Linked DNA regions of Astyanax mexicanus. The protein of the gene in region 2 purifies or fractionates together with the protein of the main gene of each other region. This does not show direct contact. Links are inferred from orthologs where the notes say so. Each region holds a gene or a part of one and is shown on either strand. Other genes may lie near its edges. The genes, in order: nprl3, wdr24 and sec13.

Evidence for each region.
Region 1: the proteins of wdr24 (region 2) and nprl3 purify together in Homo sapiens (affinity purification with western blotting; 6 studies listed by BioGRID and IntAct, with this or other methods). This does not show direct contact. The link is inferred for Astyanax mexicanus from reciprocal best matches to the Homo sapiens genes WDR24 and NPRL3.
Region 3: the proteins of wdr24 (region 2) and sec13 purify together in Homo sapiens (affinity purification with mass spectrometry; 5 studies listed by BioGRID and IntAct, counting the BioPlex papers as one, with this or other methods). This does not show direct contact. The link is inferred for Astyanax mexicanus from reciprocal best matches to the Homo sapiens genes WDR24 and SEC13.

Annotation. Positions count from the first base shown.
Region 1 is NC_064410.1:64,278,378-64,282,914, reverse strand, and holds the start of nprl3 (GATOR complex protein NPRL3), read left to right. Parts: upstream 1-1,953; 5' UTR 1,954-2,803; coding exon 2,804-2,993; intron 2,994-4,011; coding exon 4,012-4,081; intron 4,082-4,537. UniProt on the Homo sapiens protein: As a component of the GATOR1 complex functions as an inhibitor of the amino acid-sensing branch of the mTORC1 pathway.
Region 2 is NC_064413.1:14,970,543-14,975,079, reverse strand, and holds the start of wdr24 (GATOR complex protein WDR24), read right to left. Parts: upstream 2,763-4,537; 5' UTR 2,725-2,762; intron 2,712-2,724; exon of another isoform or gene 2,563-2,711; intron 254-2,562; 5' UTR 108-253; intron 1-107. Other genes in the region: uncharacterized protein zgc:112496, read left to right, coding at 4,282-4,421. UniProt on the Homo sapiens protein: Catalytic component of the GATOR2 complex, a multiprotein complex that acts as an activator of the amino acid-sensing branch of the mTORC1 signaling pathway. The GATOR2 complex indirectly activates mTORC1 through the inhibition of the GATOR1 subcomplex.
Region 3 is NC_064431.1:1,059,143-1,063,679, forward strand, and holds the start of sec13 (protein SEC13 homolog), read right to left. Parts: upstream 3,230-4,537; 5' UTR 3,090-3,229; coding exon 3,087-3,089; intron 1,402-3,086; coding exon 1,357-1,401; intron 1,249-1,356; coding exon 1,133-1,248; intron 500-1,132; coding exon 348-499; intron 1-347. Other genes in the region: cand2 (cullin-associated NEDD8-dissociated protein 2), read left to right, coding at 4,355-4,422. UniProt on the Homo sapiens protein: Functions as a component of the nuclear pore complex (NPC) and the COPII coat. At the endoplasmic reticulum, SEC13 is involved in the biogenesis of COPII-coated vesicles.

The DNA.
Region 1 (4,537 bases), on a different chromosome or scaffold from region 2:
ATGTTTCCACGCATGGGCGCTGGTGTTGAGAAGCACATCTCGATGGGTTACACAATTCGACAGAACACCGCGCGCTGCACCGTCGTAGGCGCTCTGCTGAACCACTGAGTAAAACACATTTCTCATGTCTCATTTTAATAAGACTCATTCAGAATGGTGATTATTTTATTTTAAAACAATATTGCAATAGCAAATATGTGTATGCTTTTTATAAGTAACACTGTCTGTTACAAATAATAATTAATATATACCCAGATAGCAAAAAGGATCTGGCCCAGATCCGGCACAATTCAAAACGGATCTGGCCCAGTGTCCTTTTGCACAGTGGGGTAGCAATTATTGTGTACATTTTACTTGCAGTTCATTGTTATTTTATTAATAGTATTGTTGTCCGTTATGTTCTGGTGATAATTACAATATAAATAGCCTAAATGATACATTAGAAACATATTTTTGGCATAATATTTTAAAGATTGTGAGTTTTGCACGTTTTCTGCTGGGAAAGTCTGGCCGAACACATCTGGAAACACCCTAGTTAAGACCACGGTGGTTTAAACCAACATAATCCAGACTTCTGTGGTACCAACAAAGTACGATGGTTTCGGGAAACGGTCGTACTTCAGATGTTAGTTAGTTTAACGATGCATCGTACCACGTTAGTTCAATGCTAGGCTCCGTCGTTGTACGGGAAACGCACCCCAGGGGTGCGTTTCCCGTACAACGACGTGGTATGCATCGTTAACCTAACTAACATCTGAAGATGTCATCTGTCTCCTGATATTTTGATTCAGGCTTTCCAAATATTCTACCGAAATCATGTTTAAATATGGGGCTTTTTCTAGCAATTTTATATTTAAAATTTAAATATAGCAAAACTCTTTACAGTTAGTCTTTGTTAAATAATATATATCACATGAAATATGTAGAAATATGTAGGCTACATAAATAGATATTTTAAAAAAGAGAACATTAATTGTCATTATGAAAAAAAAAACATGGGACGACTAGGATTCGAACTAGGCTTCCATCCGGTGTTCTGTCGAGTTTTGCTACCCTGTCAAACCGTGCTTCCCTAGCGCTTATTTAAATGTAAAATTGCTAGAAAAGGCCCCATGTTTAAACACACTTTCGGTAGGATATTTGGAAAGCCTGAAACAAAATATCAGGAGACAGTTTAGAGTTATAGGGGTGATTATAAGCCTTATTTTTTTCATTGCTCACTTATTATTACTTTCATTATTATCAGCTGTCATTTACGCATGTGTAATACTCAGAAATAATGGCAAGTAAGAGATAATTACCATAAAAATAATAAACAAATAAAAAGTGTTTCACCCATGGGCACTGGTGTTAAGAAGCACATCTCGATGGGTTGCACAATTCGACAGAACACCGCTCGCTGCACCGTCGTAGGCGCTCTGCTGAAACAGTAGCACACATTTCTCAGGTCTCCTTGGTGACTCACGCCGCACTCAAGGAGTCCGGAGATAGGCGTGTCCCTCCGCAGCTTGTTATTATTAACTGCTATGCATCGGTTAAAAAGTGTTTAGCCCAATGTGCCCACAGTTTTAAAGTTGTAAAAAGTACTCCAGTCTTTTCTAACTTGCTGCCTATCACTCTACCTCTCTGCATTTTTAAATCTTCCCACTTTCATTTTTTTAACCAATAACTTAAAAACGTAAGTTGAATAAACTTGGGTAAATTTGAATAACTCACAGGAAGTTAAGACAATATGTTATTTTAAGTTATTTTTATGTAAAACGAAGGAACTTGAGTTCAATATACTAAACTTGTCATGGCAATTGGAATTGAAAAGAACAAATAAGTTCACATAACTTAATGTGGCTGTAATGTTTTACAGTGCAGATTATGTACATATAGACGTAAAAATGAAGCAGAGTAAACAAGACAAAGCAAAAATGTAAACCAAATCTAACTAAATCTATCTATCTATAATATAGCATTTAATGGTGCAGTGCGGAACCTTAAAGCGCAGAGTCTGTTTCCTACGGTAACAAAAAACGTGACTCAAGACACTGAGCCAAGCTAATGCTAACCAATAGCACGTTATTGCATAGCTCGTATTTCCTAAGAAATTACTGTTAAAATAGGGGATTTTAGGCTGTTTTTTTATTGAACACGAATTTAAATAATGAATATATCAGTGATTAAAGTATAGTTAAGGTCTGTGGGGCTGGATGTTAGTTAGCTGTATTCCCTGTGTTTAATCTGCATTAACTGTCATTATCATGGTTTATTGACTAATGTATTAATTTATAGAATTTATTTACTGTTTTTATTTATGGTGATTTATTTAGGCCTTGATGAAAGTCGGAACCTTAAAAGGCAGTGTCTGTTTCCTACGGTACCAAAAAAGTGTGACTCAAAACACTGAGCCAAGCTAATGCTAACCAGTAGCGCATGTTAGCACGTATTTCCTAAGAAATTAATGTTAAAATAGGGGATTTTAGGCTGGTTTGTATTAAACATGAATTAAAATAATTAATATATTAGTGATTAAAGTATAGTTAAGGTCTGTGGGGCTGGAGTTTACTCGGTTTTTATGTTAGCTAGCTGTAGCCTCAGTACTGTATATCAGGGTGTATTTAGTATAATGGTTTATTAATTTATAGTGATTTATTTACTGGTTTATTAATTTATAGTGATTTATTTAGGCTTCATATCGCAGATACTCTTCATATTAAGGTATTATCTGTGGTTGAAGAGCTGGGAGATGGGTATATAAAGCTACAGGCTGGTTTATACAGTAAGAAAGACCCCAGGCTTCTCTAAACCCAGTAAAATGTCCAGGCAGTCCTCGGTAGATTTGGACCCCGGTTCCGAACCCAGACCGCCCGACACCGTGCTGCAGAACCACGGGGAGAAGAACAGCCCGATCAGCGTGATCCTGGTCAGTTCGGGCAGCAGAGGAAACAAACTGCTGTTCAGATACCCGTTTCTCAGAGTGTCCGAGAACATCGCTTCATCCGCAGGTATCAGTACTCTAACCCTAAATACTCTCTCAACCAATCCTGGGGCGGTACGTCCTGATGAGTGCCAGTTCCAACATTACACTGAAAAAAAAAATCTTACCAACTGACCTGTTGCACCTATCCTTTTTTAATTTCTCTAGTTGGTCTAATTTAATTTCTTCTGACAACTTTCGAAATTTGTTCCAAAAAAAAAAGTTATTAAGTTGGTCCAACTTCATGTTTTGAATTGTGTCATGGTATGTTCCCGTTCCTCAAAGTGTCCGAGAACACCGCTTCATCCGCAAGTATCAGTACTGTACCAAAATACTCTCTCCACCAATCCTGTTGCGGTCTGTCCTGATGAGTGCCAGTTCCAACATTGCGCCTATTTTTTTTATTAAATTTTTTGTCTAATTGAAGTTCTGCCGACAACTCTAGAAATTTGGTCCAGTTAAATTTTCTTTTCTTTTTTTTTTGCGATAAAGATATTCTTGGCAATCTGACAAAACATTAAATAAAAAAAATTAAAAAATCCAGCATACACTACTATGAGTAACAGAAAAAAAACATGTTTTAGTTTGCGGGCTATTTCACCAAATTAAACTTTTCTTCATAGATTGGATAACTTTATTAACATTTTAAAATAATGAAAAAAAAAAACTGAATTTGAGGTACCAGTCATAAGTTTAGGCACACCTTTCTTTTTATGATTCTTCTTAAACTGTAATTTTTTTTTACAATGAAAAATATACATTAAAGCTATAAAGGAACAAACGCAGAGCTATTTATTAAACAAAAAGTGTTAAACAACCAGAATATGTTTTATACTTAAGAGGTTTTCTCAGCACCTTGAAGGAAGGAGTTTCTGGAGGTGCTGAACAATAGTTGCTGCTTTTCTTCATGCTGTGTATCTCAAATGTTAAAAAAAGAATGTGTTCTCTGTAAATCTGACTTTTGGAGATTATTTGGAATTAATATTTTACTTACATAACCAGTACTAATCAGACAATACTGATTTGATATGGTTTTTATTTTTAAGCAAAACAGCGGAGTCCCTATGTGTTGAGCAGCACGAGTGATGTCACAGATGACCCGGATGGAGATTCGAGGTGATCATTGATTAAAATATTGAGCAGAATGACTTGTTGCTTTTGATGAAGCTTTGAAATTACTGTGGTGTTTGTGTTGTTGTGGGTTTGGATTGCATTATAACGCTCAACTAAATCATTTATTTATTTATGTTTTATTTTTCCAAAATAGTTATTTTTATTTATTTATTTGTTTGTTAGTTTTTTTTTCCCAAAAATACATCTTAAAGTTTCTTAGTTAGAGATAACCAAAGACTGTAAAAAAAGATGGACGCCGTGTCTCCGTTCCCATTCATTCAGTGAAAATGAAGCCGAAATCTTCCTCCATGTTGGCGATCCTGAAACCCGATTCTGCGCAGTAGAGACCAGAGGGGGGAGAAAGACTGTGGAGAGCAGCCTACTCATTTAAATAACCCCGCCCCTGAGGGCTGCCTCGAGGTCACAGGCTGCAGAGCGGGGCTGAGCGGAGCTGACGGT
Region 2 (4,537 bases):
TTCCCTTGCATTTAGTTTAATTTATAGATTTATTCACAAGCTTTTTCTACTGAGAATTTTAACTGAACATTTAAACATCTGATATTTTATAAGCCTTTGTTACCCACCTCTGCTTTAATGAACACAGCACTAGTGACCTGTAGTTACTGTATAGTTCATCACTGGAAGTTTATCCGGTTCACCATGTCTCCTCATGTCAACACAAGGCACGGGCACCTCAGTCCCCTGCACGTGCCCCATGCAAAACAGTGATCTGTTAAAGGCAAAGAGAGAGACAGAAATGTATATGTATTTTTTTTTTTTTATCACTACTATTTTTGTCACTTCTATTCAAATATTATAGCGAGTATTGCCATTTTTGCTGTTAGTGTAGAGGGTGAGAGACATACAAATGGAGAATAGTTTAGCTGCTTTGATTTTTTAGTATTCGCCTGTAATGAAATTTCAGCAACCAACCATGGTCAGTGCGGGACCATGATAATTTATTCTTGTGTCGGTTACATAATCTCTATTAACGTGTTGTAGTGGGTGACAAATTAAAGGAAAACCCTTAGAAAATAAGTGTAGATTATTCCATAAACTACAGCAAGTTTGAAAAGGGGGTTCATTGTTGAGCAGCAGAGAGCACAGAGAGGCAGTTTATTCACCAATAAATAAATAAAATAGCATAAATGTATTTTAACTTGCTAGTCTTTGGCATTTTCAGCTAATTAATGTCAGTTGATAAATAATTGGTGCATCCATAATGGAATACATTAAGAAAACAATGCAGGTCAGGAGGCTTTACCCCTATACTGTGAGAGGGTCAGGTGGCTCTATTTTGCAGTAGGGGCATCTTGCTAGAATGGCTTGGGTCCACTTGCCCTCTCAAAGGGAAGATAGGTCGCTGTGAATCAAACTATAAGTCATTTTGACATATCACTTTTGTCCTGTTTAAAATAATTGCTATATTGGTTGGAGAGTTGCTTCCAGGATGCCTTTGTTACCTTTCACAGGGAACTTAGTTTAGTTTAGTTATATTTTATCCACTCCTAAATGTTCCTTTGGTAATTTTTTTGAACAAAGCAAATTTAGCATGTAAAAAACTGATTAAAAGTGATTTGATGCCATCCTCAAGTCCTTAAAAGTTTTTAGTTTGTTTGAAAACAACATGAATGACTTATGTTTGTTTCCACTGTTTTGTTACCAAAAGAGTAGTCCAAGTTTGTCAAAGGCAAAGAGCAGAGTACCGTATGAACATTTCCACTATTCCCAGTTGCATTAAAAAGAAATTGTCAAAACAAAAAACCTGTAAAATATTTTAAAAAACATGTTGCATGCTTATAGCATATAGTTGCATCTATATGTACCCACTAAACCACATTAAATGTGTATTTGCTTATAATATAGTAAGAATTTGTCACCATTAAGATACATTACATATTTGTGTTTAATATTTCCACCTATATTTGGTATATAAACAACATATTCTGAAATACATTCATGCATTTTTACAATGTAATGCAATGCAGTTTATCTGTGTTTTTATGCAGTAAAAATTTGTTTTTAGGTACTTTTTTTTTTAGTTTTTCACTATTAGAGAATAGTTTAATAGTTGCAATCTTGTCTATAGTGCCCCTAAAGTTTTAAGGTACAAAAATAATATTTAGAGGCCTAAAATGTTCCCTTGTGTAATAAAACATGGCCAGAATTAAATAACTTTATTATTTTCAGTTTAATAAAATAGTGCCTCTAATAAAAAAAAAAACACTCCATCAATTAAACAAAATATTCCCAAAATGTAACCAATCATTCTCTAAATAAAAAAAACAATTACTGCATCTAATAAATAATTTCTTAGATTTAATAAAATAATACACAGATTTGATAAATATGTTTTTCATTAACAGATTAAATGTGTTCCTTTAAAGTAATGAAACATACCATCCCTGCTTAGAATTTCCTTCCTGTCCCTCCTGCCCCACCCCTAAACCTACACATCACCCAGTGTTACTCCCAAACTACCCCTCTCATTTATTTATTTATTTAGCATTTTTCAAGTCTGAGCTGTGGGGGGATTCAGCTAATACCAGGGGGTTTAGTTACTCTTTAGTTAACTCCTAACCAGCACAGAGTATGTTTTCTCTGGATTACTAGCTGGATTTTTTTAACAGGGATGTAATGAATCATTCCCTCAATGTAATAAACCGTTCCAATGATGTAATAAAATATCATAAACAATAAAAAAAAACTTATAAAAAGAGAATTATGTAACGTTAATTAATATTTTTTCGGCGTTAATAAATAATTAACTGCGTTTAATAAATCGTTAGGTAAGTGTAAGGTAAGTGTAAGTTAAGTGAATCGTGGTCTTTGAATTTCTGCTATTTGTAAACACGGGTCTGTTGGTCCATGTGCTCTTTTTTAGTAAACAGGAGATTTCCGATAAGAGCTCTCAGACTGAACACATTCCCTCACAGTGCTGTGGAACAAAGTGAGTGCAGAGCTGCTCTAATCTGCTGCAGGAAACTGGAGAAATTAATAATAATCAGTTTTAGAAGAAGTAAAAACAGATCCCTGAACCTCTCTCTGCTGCTCCTCCGCCGCTGCAGTAACTCAACCTGCCGCTCCGGCTCTGTATCTCTGTGTGTGTCTGCTCTTCTCGGCTGGTGTTGATTCTGTTTTATACAGCGATAATAATAATAACGATAATAAAAATGAGTTAAAAAAAATCCCATAACTGACCTTTCAAAACAAACCTGCAGGAGAAAGAGGAACCGGATGTGGAGCATTCACTTCCGCTTTGGTGCAGCACGCGCGTGTGTGTTTTTAGTTACAGAATTTAAAAGTGGATTTCTCGGGGTTCTCTGCTTTTTACACGAGAGGAAATACTATCAGCAATTTAATACATCTAATAATCCCATACTGTTAGTATTTCTTATTATCTAGGTGAATATAGGGAGTCTAAGGTATGTATTACCGACTAAAAGCCCATTCTGAGTAAATGTAGTTTTAATAGAAATTGAATGTAGTTTACTTTGCTGTATATAGTACTGTGGAGTTATTAATCTTTATTGTTTTAATAATTAAATATCGTTTTTAACTATGTCCTCTACTGAAATAAAACAGTGGAATAGATCAGAAAGTAGAGCTGCAGGGCTTTACTGTGGCTGTAATTCACACTTGTTGCAATGTATTAAGACAAAATTGAAGGTGACTTTTATTACTGCAGGTTAAATAAGCTACACGGACTAGTAAAACAGGCGGGGCGCGTTTCATTTCTGTTTTAACGCCCTTCTGCACTTCTGCACTCTAAATTCAAATTAAGCTGATATATATATATATATTTCTTTATTTAAGAAAATTATTTCATGTGTTCTCTTTAATTATTTTAAAACGAAATGTATTGAATACATTTTTATACACTGAGGGAAGATTTTAAGTCTCTAAATATATTTTTTGTACCTTGATACTTTGGGGTCTCTACACAAAACACTGTACTGACGTTTTTTAATGTAGAAGCAAACACCAGTAACATATTAATGGGCAAAATAAAGTTTTGATTAAAGTAGGGCTGAGTGATATTGTAAAACAATTGTAAAATATTGATTTTTTTTTAGTTCTTACTTAACTTTTTATATGTAAACAGGCTGTACCATTTAAAGTGATGTACAAGTTGTTGTTTCCTTTACATGTCATTGCCTTTTATTTATTTATTTTTCCAGAATAGTAAGCAGCCCCCTTTAACCTTACATAACCTCCTTGTATTTCAGTTTTTATTTTAGGAAAATAGTTCTTTATAGGTTTCAGACATAAGCAAATGTCTATCTACTGAGAACTGATTAATTCAGTTGATCAGTTTGATTTGATTAACCTTCCATCCTGTACTGTACCCTCCTCCTCTCTTGTACAGCAGATGGTCACTTGTATGACATAACTGATACAAGTCTGCTTTCTTATTGGATTTTTGGGAAGAAAAAAGTATGAATTGGAACAGTTTAGACAGAAAGTAATTACAGGGCTGTCTTTTTGACTTTTAATATTATTTCCTCAATTCAATTGTAGCTGAACACAAGCTGAAATTTAGTATTTGATTTTATTTTGACTTAGGAGATTACTTTATTGCATTGTCTAGAGTGTGGAATTAGAGTACTTTTCTACGTATTTGGTCAGACCAGCATAAAAATTGAGCTAATGATTAAAATAACATACATTTCATTTTTAGGCTTGTAATTTTACCTAAATCAGATATTTAAGCTAAATAAACTCTTTCTCTCTGTATTTCTCTATATGTCTGTTAGCATGTCTGGGGCTGAGCAGCTGTACACCTGTGAAGATCCGGCAGTGTGGACGCGTATTTACGGCAAATACTGGACTGTGGTGGAAGCAAAGTCTGCTGGAAAAGGGAAACGTTCGGGGAAGCTGTTGGCTTTAGACAAATGGTACGACAGACAGGTGCCATGAATGAAAAGCTATAGACACAGCTTCACAGTCTGATATAGTCTCTCATTTACACACATCAGTGCTTGACTGTACTAGGTTTGCCAGTATGCCACAA
Region 3 (4,537 bases), on a different chromosome or scaffold from region 2:
GCCCTGTCCAAACTTCACTGCGCATTTGGACTGGAAAAATGTGGTCTCTCAGTCAGCTAGCTATTCACCCAAACTAAACCAGATCTGCTGTTGAAAATGTGAATGGGCTTCCTGGGGAATGAGACTGAACCTTCCTCCACCCCCCTCAACTCTACCACTCCAGCAAACACCTCTATCAGGTCACTGGTGTATCATTATATGGTAAAATTATCCTTTTTGAGAAGATTCTATTGAATGAACTGATATGTCAACTTTATTTAAAAAATATTAAATTGTTTATCACAGTAAATTTATTATCCATTAAAATAATTTATTGTCCATTAAATCATAAACACAGCAGAAGGTACCTGAGGAGTTGTGGCCTGTGTATTTGTACATCTTATCCCATGTCCCGTTCTCCTCTTTCCAGATAATGACTTTTCGGTCATAGGAACAGGAGGCCAGGATGTTGCCGTAGGTTGGATGAGCCCAGGCTACCTGCCACACTGGACCTTCATGCCTGTATAAACAAAGATAAAGAAAAAAGATGAATACAATCAAGAACAATGAATAAATTTGTGCTGAAAGCATTCATTCACTTCAAATTAAATATTCGATTAAATGACCTAATGACTCTAAACTGTAAGACCGGATAAGTTGAATTTACTTCAAAAACTTGAGGAAACCGGTTGCCTCAAAAAATTAAAGTAATGGGGGATGAAAACTTAAGTTATCATAACTTAGAACATCAATTTATTACAACTAAAGGAGAAGTTGATTTATTTGTAAGGTAGCCCAGGGGGAATCACTACACACTGATGGTGAGTGTTAGTCAGAAACTGTTGGACACACCCAGTATGCAAATAGATTGTGACAGAAGCCAATGGAAAAGAAGCTGTTAATGGCAAAATAGACTAAACTCAGTTATTAACAGTTGGTTCAACTCAAAGAACTCAGTTTGAATAGTACAGTATATGAGCTCACAAATTCAGTTCAACTAACTCAAAATAGTCAATAGTTGAGTATTGTTTAGAAATATCAAATTTTATGTAAAACAGACTTAAATCATTTGAGTTTTATGGGTTGTATGGGTTTACAGTGTAATAATATTATAGCAACATTAATGAATATTCCAAAAAATAAAACTGCCTACCCCCTCAAATCAGCCACAAGAATCTGTCCTCCATTCTTTACATCAAAGATCTTCACAGAGCGATCAGAGGAGCAGGTCGCCAGTCGTGTGCCATAGTAGTCCATCTGGGCATCATGCTGAGAAAGAAAGAGAAGATAAAGATGATGATAATGATTATTAAAGAATTCTCAATCAGGCACACAAAATAGACCAAAGTTCACTAAAACCACCAAACCAATACTTACGATCATGTCCTCGTGTGAGGTATCCACTGTATTAATTACAGACACCTGAAATACAAGAGCAGAAAGGAATGAGTGATGGAGAATTAACTATTCAAAGTGTATAATAAAAAAATTATAATAGTATAATAAAAACGAAGCTCTCACACACACAGATGATCAACACACCACTAACACAACCATTACACAGGTAATCCTCCTATACATCCAAAACCTCTGCCTGAATGTTCCGATCAGGGCTGTGACGATTAATCAATATAATCGACAGTGTTGATTATTTAAATTTGTCGACTACAAATTTTAATTGTCGACTAAGTGTTCATTTGTAACAGTACTGCATTACACAAAGGGCTGGGAACAGAAGCGCAATGGGTGATGGGTAAACGTCTTAACTTCGTCTGCCTCTCCTAAAGTGCCCAAATTGCCCAAAAATGCACAGATTTCAAATTAACTCACTAAATATCAGCACTTTTCACAACATCCAGACATTTAAATATAATTTTAAATATTTTAAATAACGCCTTTTAAATATAATTTGTAACTGTTTTTATTGTTTTTAGAGATGGAGAACATGACAGAAATAATTGTTGACTAATCGACTAATCCACAAAACAATCATCAGATTAGTCGACTAACAAAATAATCATTAGTTGCAGCCCTAATCCCCCCCCCCACACACACACACACACAGACAGAGAAAGAAAGAAAGAAAGAGAGAGAGAGAGAGAAATGGCAGATACTTATCTCTTTCTCTAATTCTTTTCTCTCTATTTATTTCCACATATTATACAAAAACGTATTTGTTTCTCTATTGTAGCTCTTATACTTTCGCTGTTGTTGTTCCTTAATATCTGACTTTTTTTTGCTATATTTTGTAAGGTTTTTTTGTCTCTCCCCTTTTTGGCCTGTTATTTTGCTTCTATTACTATCTCTCTATTATATGCACCATGATCACAGTAACTATACCTCTGTATACACACTAATAAAGCTAATTATTCATTTAAAGTGGGGGTGGTGTCTGCTGAAAAAGAAAAAAAATCAGAAAAGAAAGCAAAAACTAAAGAAATCTGTAGGCGACAAATAACTTACTTTATCACAGCTCTGTATAAGTTATATGACTCCAGATCACTCACTAAACTATGATATCTGACAATTCTAATAGCATGCATAAGTTTTAAACGTATCGTCACGGGCCACTTCTGGCTGTTTTAAACCCATATTTACTTCTTTAATTTTTTTTTATTTAATAAGTTTGGCTGCAGAGTTATGCCTACGTGGATAATACTGGATATACAGCTTAAGAATTATCCAACATCAGTACACTTAAATAAACAAGCTATAATTCACGAAAACTAACCTGAATTAAAGTTTAATTAAAGCTAAAACAACACATTTAGTTTATTTCAGTTTATTTATTATTTTTGTATTGAAATGAATGGAAGTCTAGGCTAATGTTTCCGTTAGTCACTTTAACACTAATCATCTTTTATTCAGATCATCTTTAACCTTAAACACGAGCAGTTAATCCACAACCAGTTAATAAAAGTGTATCTTTACTGTAAATAAAGGTTATAATCGGTTTTACGCTCTTTATTTATTATATTACAGAATCCGGGTGCTAATGTTAGCCTGTTAGCTCTCCGCTAAATAACAGCGTTTTTTACCGGTTTAAACACAGACAGCGGTCAGAAACAGCGGGATTAATCTGAGATTATTAGCGCTTTAATACTCACCATCTTCCTTTATTAATCCGGATCCAGAGAAACTATAAAACAGTAACTTTATCCGGAGAGAAAATCAGCCAAAGGGCAGAACTGATCTCTACGTGGCAAACAGACCGCCGGTTTCATAAAGGTTCCGGGTGGAGACACGGACCCGAATAATAGTTCCGAAGCTTCTGGATTTCAGCACAATTTAGTTTAAACATTGAAATTAACAGAATTAATAAATGATCGGTGCATGAAATATGTCATCCAGAGCGTTAGAGTTTAATAAATAATTACCTAAATTTAATAAACTGTTCCACCAGTTTAATGAAAAGTAGTAGTAATACGACTGCTCTTACTACTACTAACAATAACAATAATAATATTTTTTTCCCCTTAATTTAATAAAGGATTATCTCAATTTAATTGAATAAATCCTCCCCTCGTTTTTCTAAATGTTCTCTCAGTGTCCTAAATTATAGACTTCAATAAATAATTACTACTATTTAATAAACTGTTCCCGCAGTTTAATGATTAGCGTAACAGTAAAATTAATAAAAAATAATAACAACAACAACAGTAATAATAATAATAATAATAATAATAATAATAATAATAATAATAATAATAATAATAATAATAATAAATATTTTATTTATTAAAAGCCCATTCCTGCCGCCTACAATATAAAAAACTCTAATTTGTATTTTTAAGTCAACTACTATTTCATTATTTTGATATAGTCTTTGTCTTACCTGCTTCGGTCTCTGTACAGTCTACTAGTATTTAAAAAAGGGCTTGGAATTTTAAAATACTAAAAAAAAAATGTTTTTCTTTTTTAATTTTAGGTGGTGGGAATGAGCTTCCGTAAGTATAATAAATTAATAAAAATCATTTATAAATCTCAGTCCGGAGATCAGGAGTTGTATTGTATTGTATTTTATGTTTAATCTTGTAATCTGTATAGTGGCCACAAGGTGGCAGTCTATCTAACGCTGCAGGCCCTGTCCCATTCCCTCCATACTCTCACCCTATACTGTAACACTACGCAGAGAGTTCCTGCTTCTTAAGTGCCCTAGTTAGGCTGCATGTGTTCCGTTTGGAGCGCCCTGAGTAATATCGCTCTATTAATATCTGTGTGCTGTTGAGTGTCGTGTTTCTGAGTTTACTCTGCGCCACAGAGCCGCTCTGAATCACGCGTTATGATCCTGACCTGAACACTTCTCTCTCTTTTTACCCCGTTCAGACCATAATCTCGCTTTATTAGTGTTAATTTAGAGTTTAAAAAAGTCAAAATGTCGAATATCACCTATTATATTTCCAACTTGTTGGAAAAAATGACCTCAACTGACAAAGACTTTCGGTAAGAGAGGCTGTGTGCGCATGCGGGCGTGGAATTAAGTGACTAATATTAAAAAAAATACTTTTTACTGTTAATAAACTTTTATTTTAATATTTTAATGTTTTTCTTTTGTCCT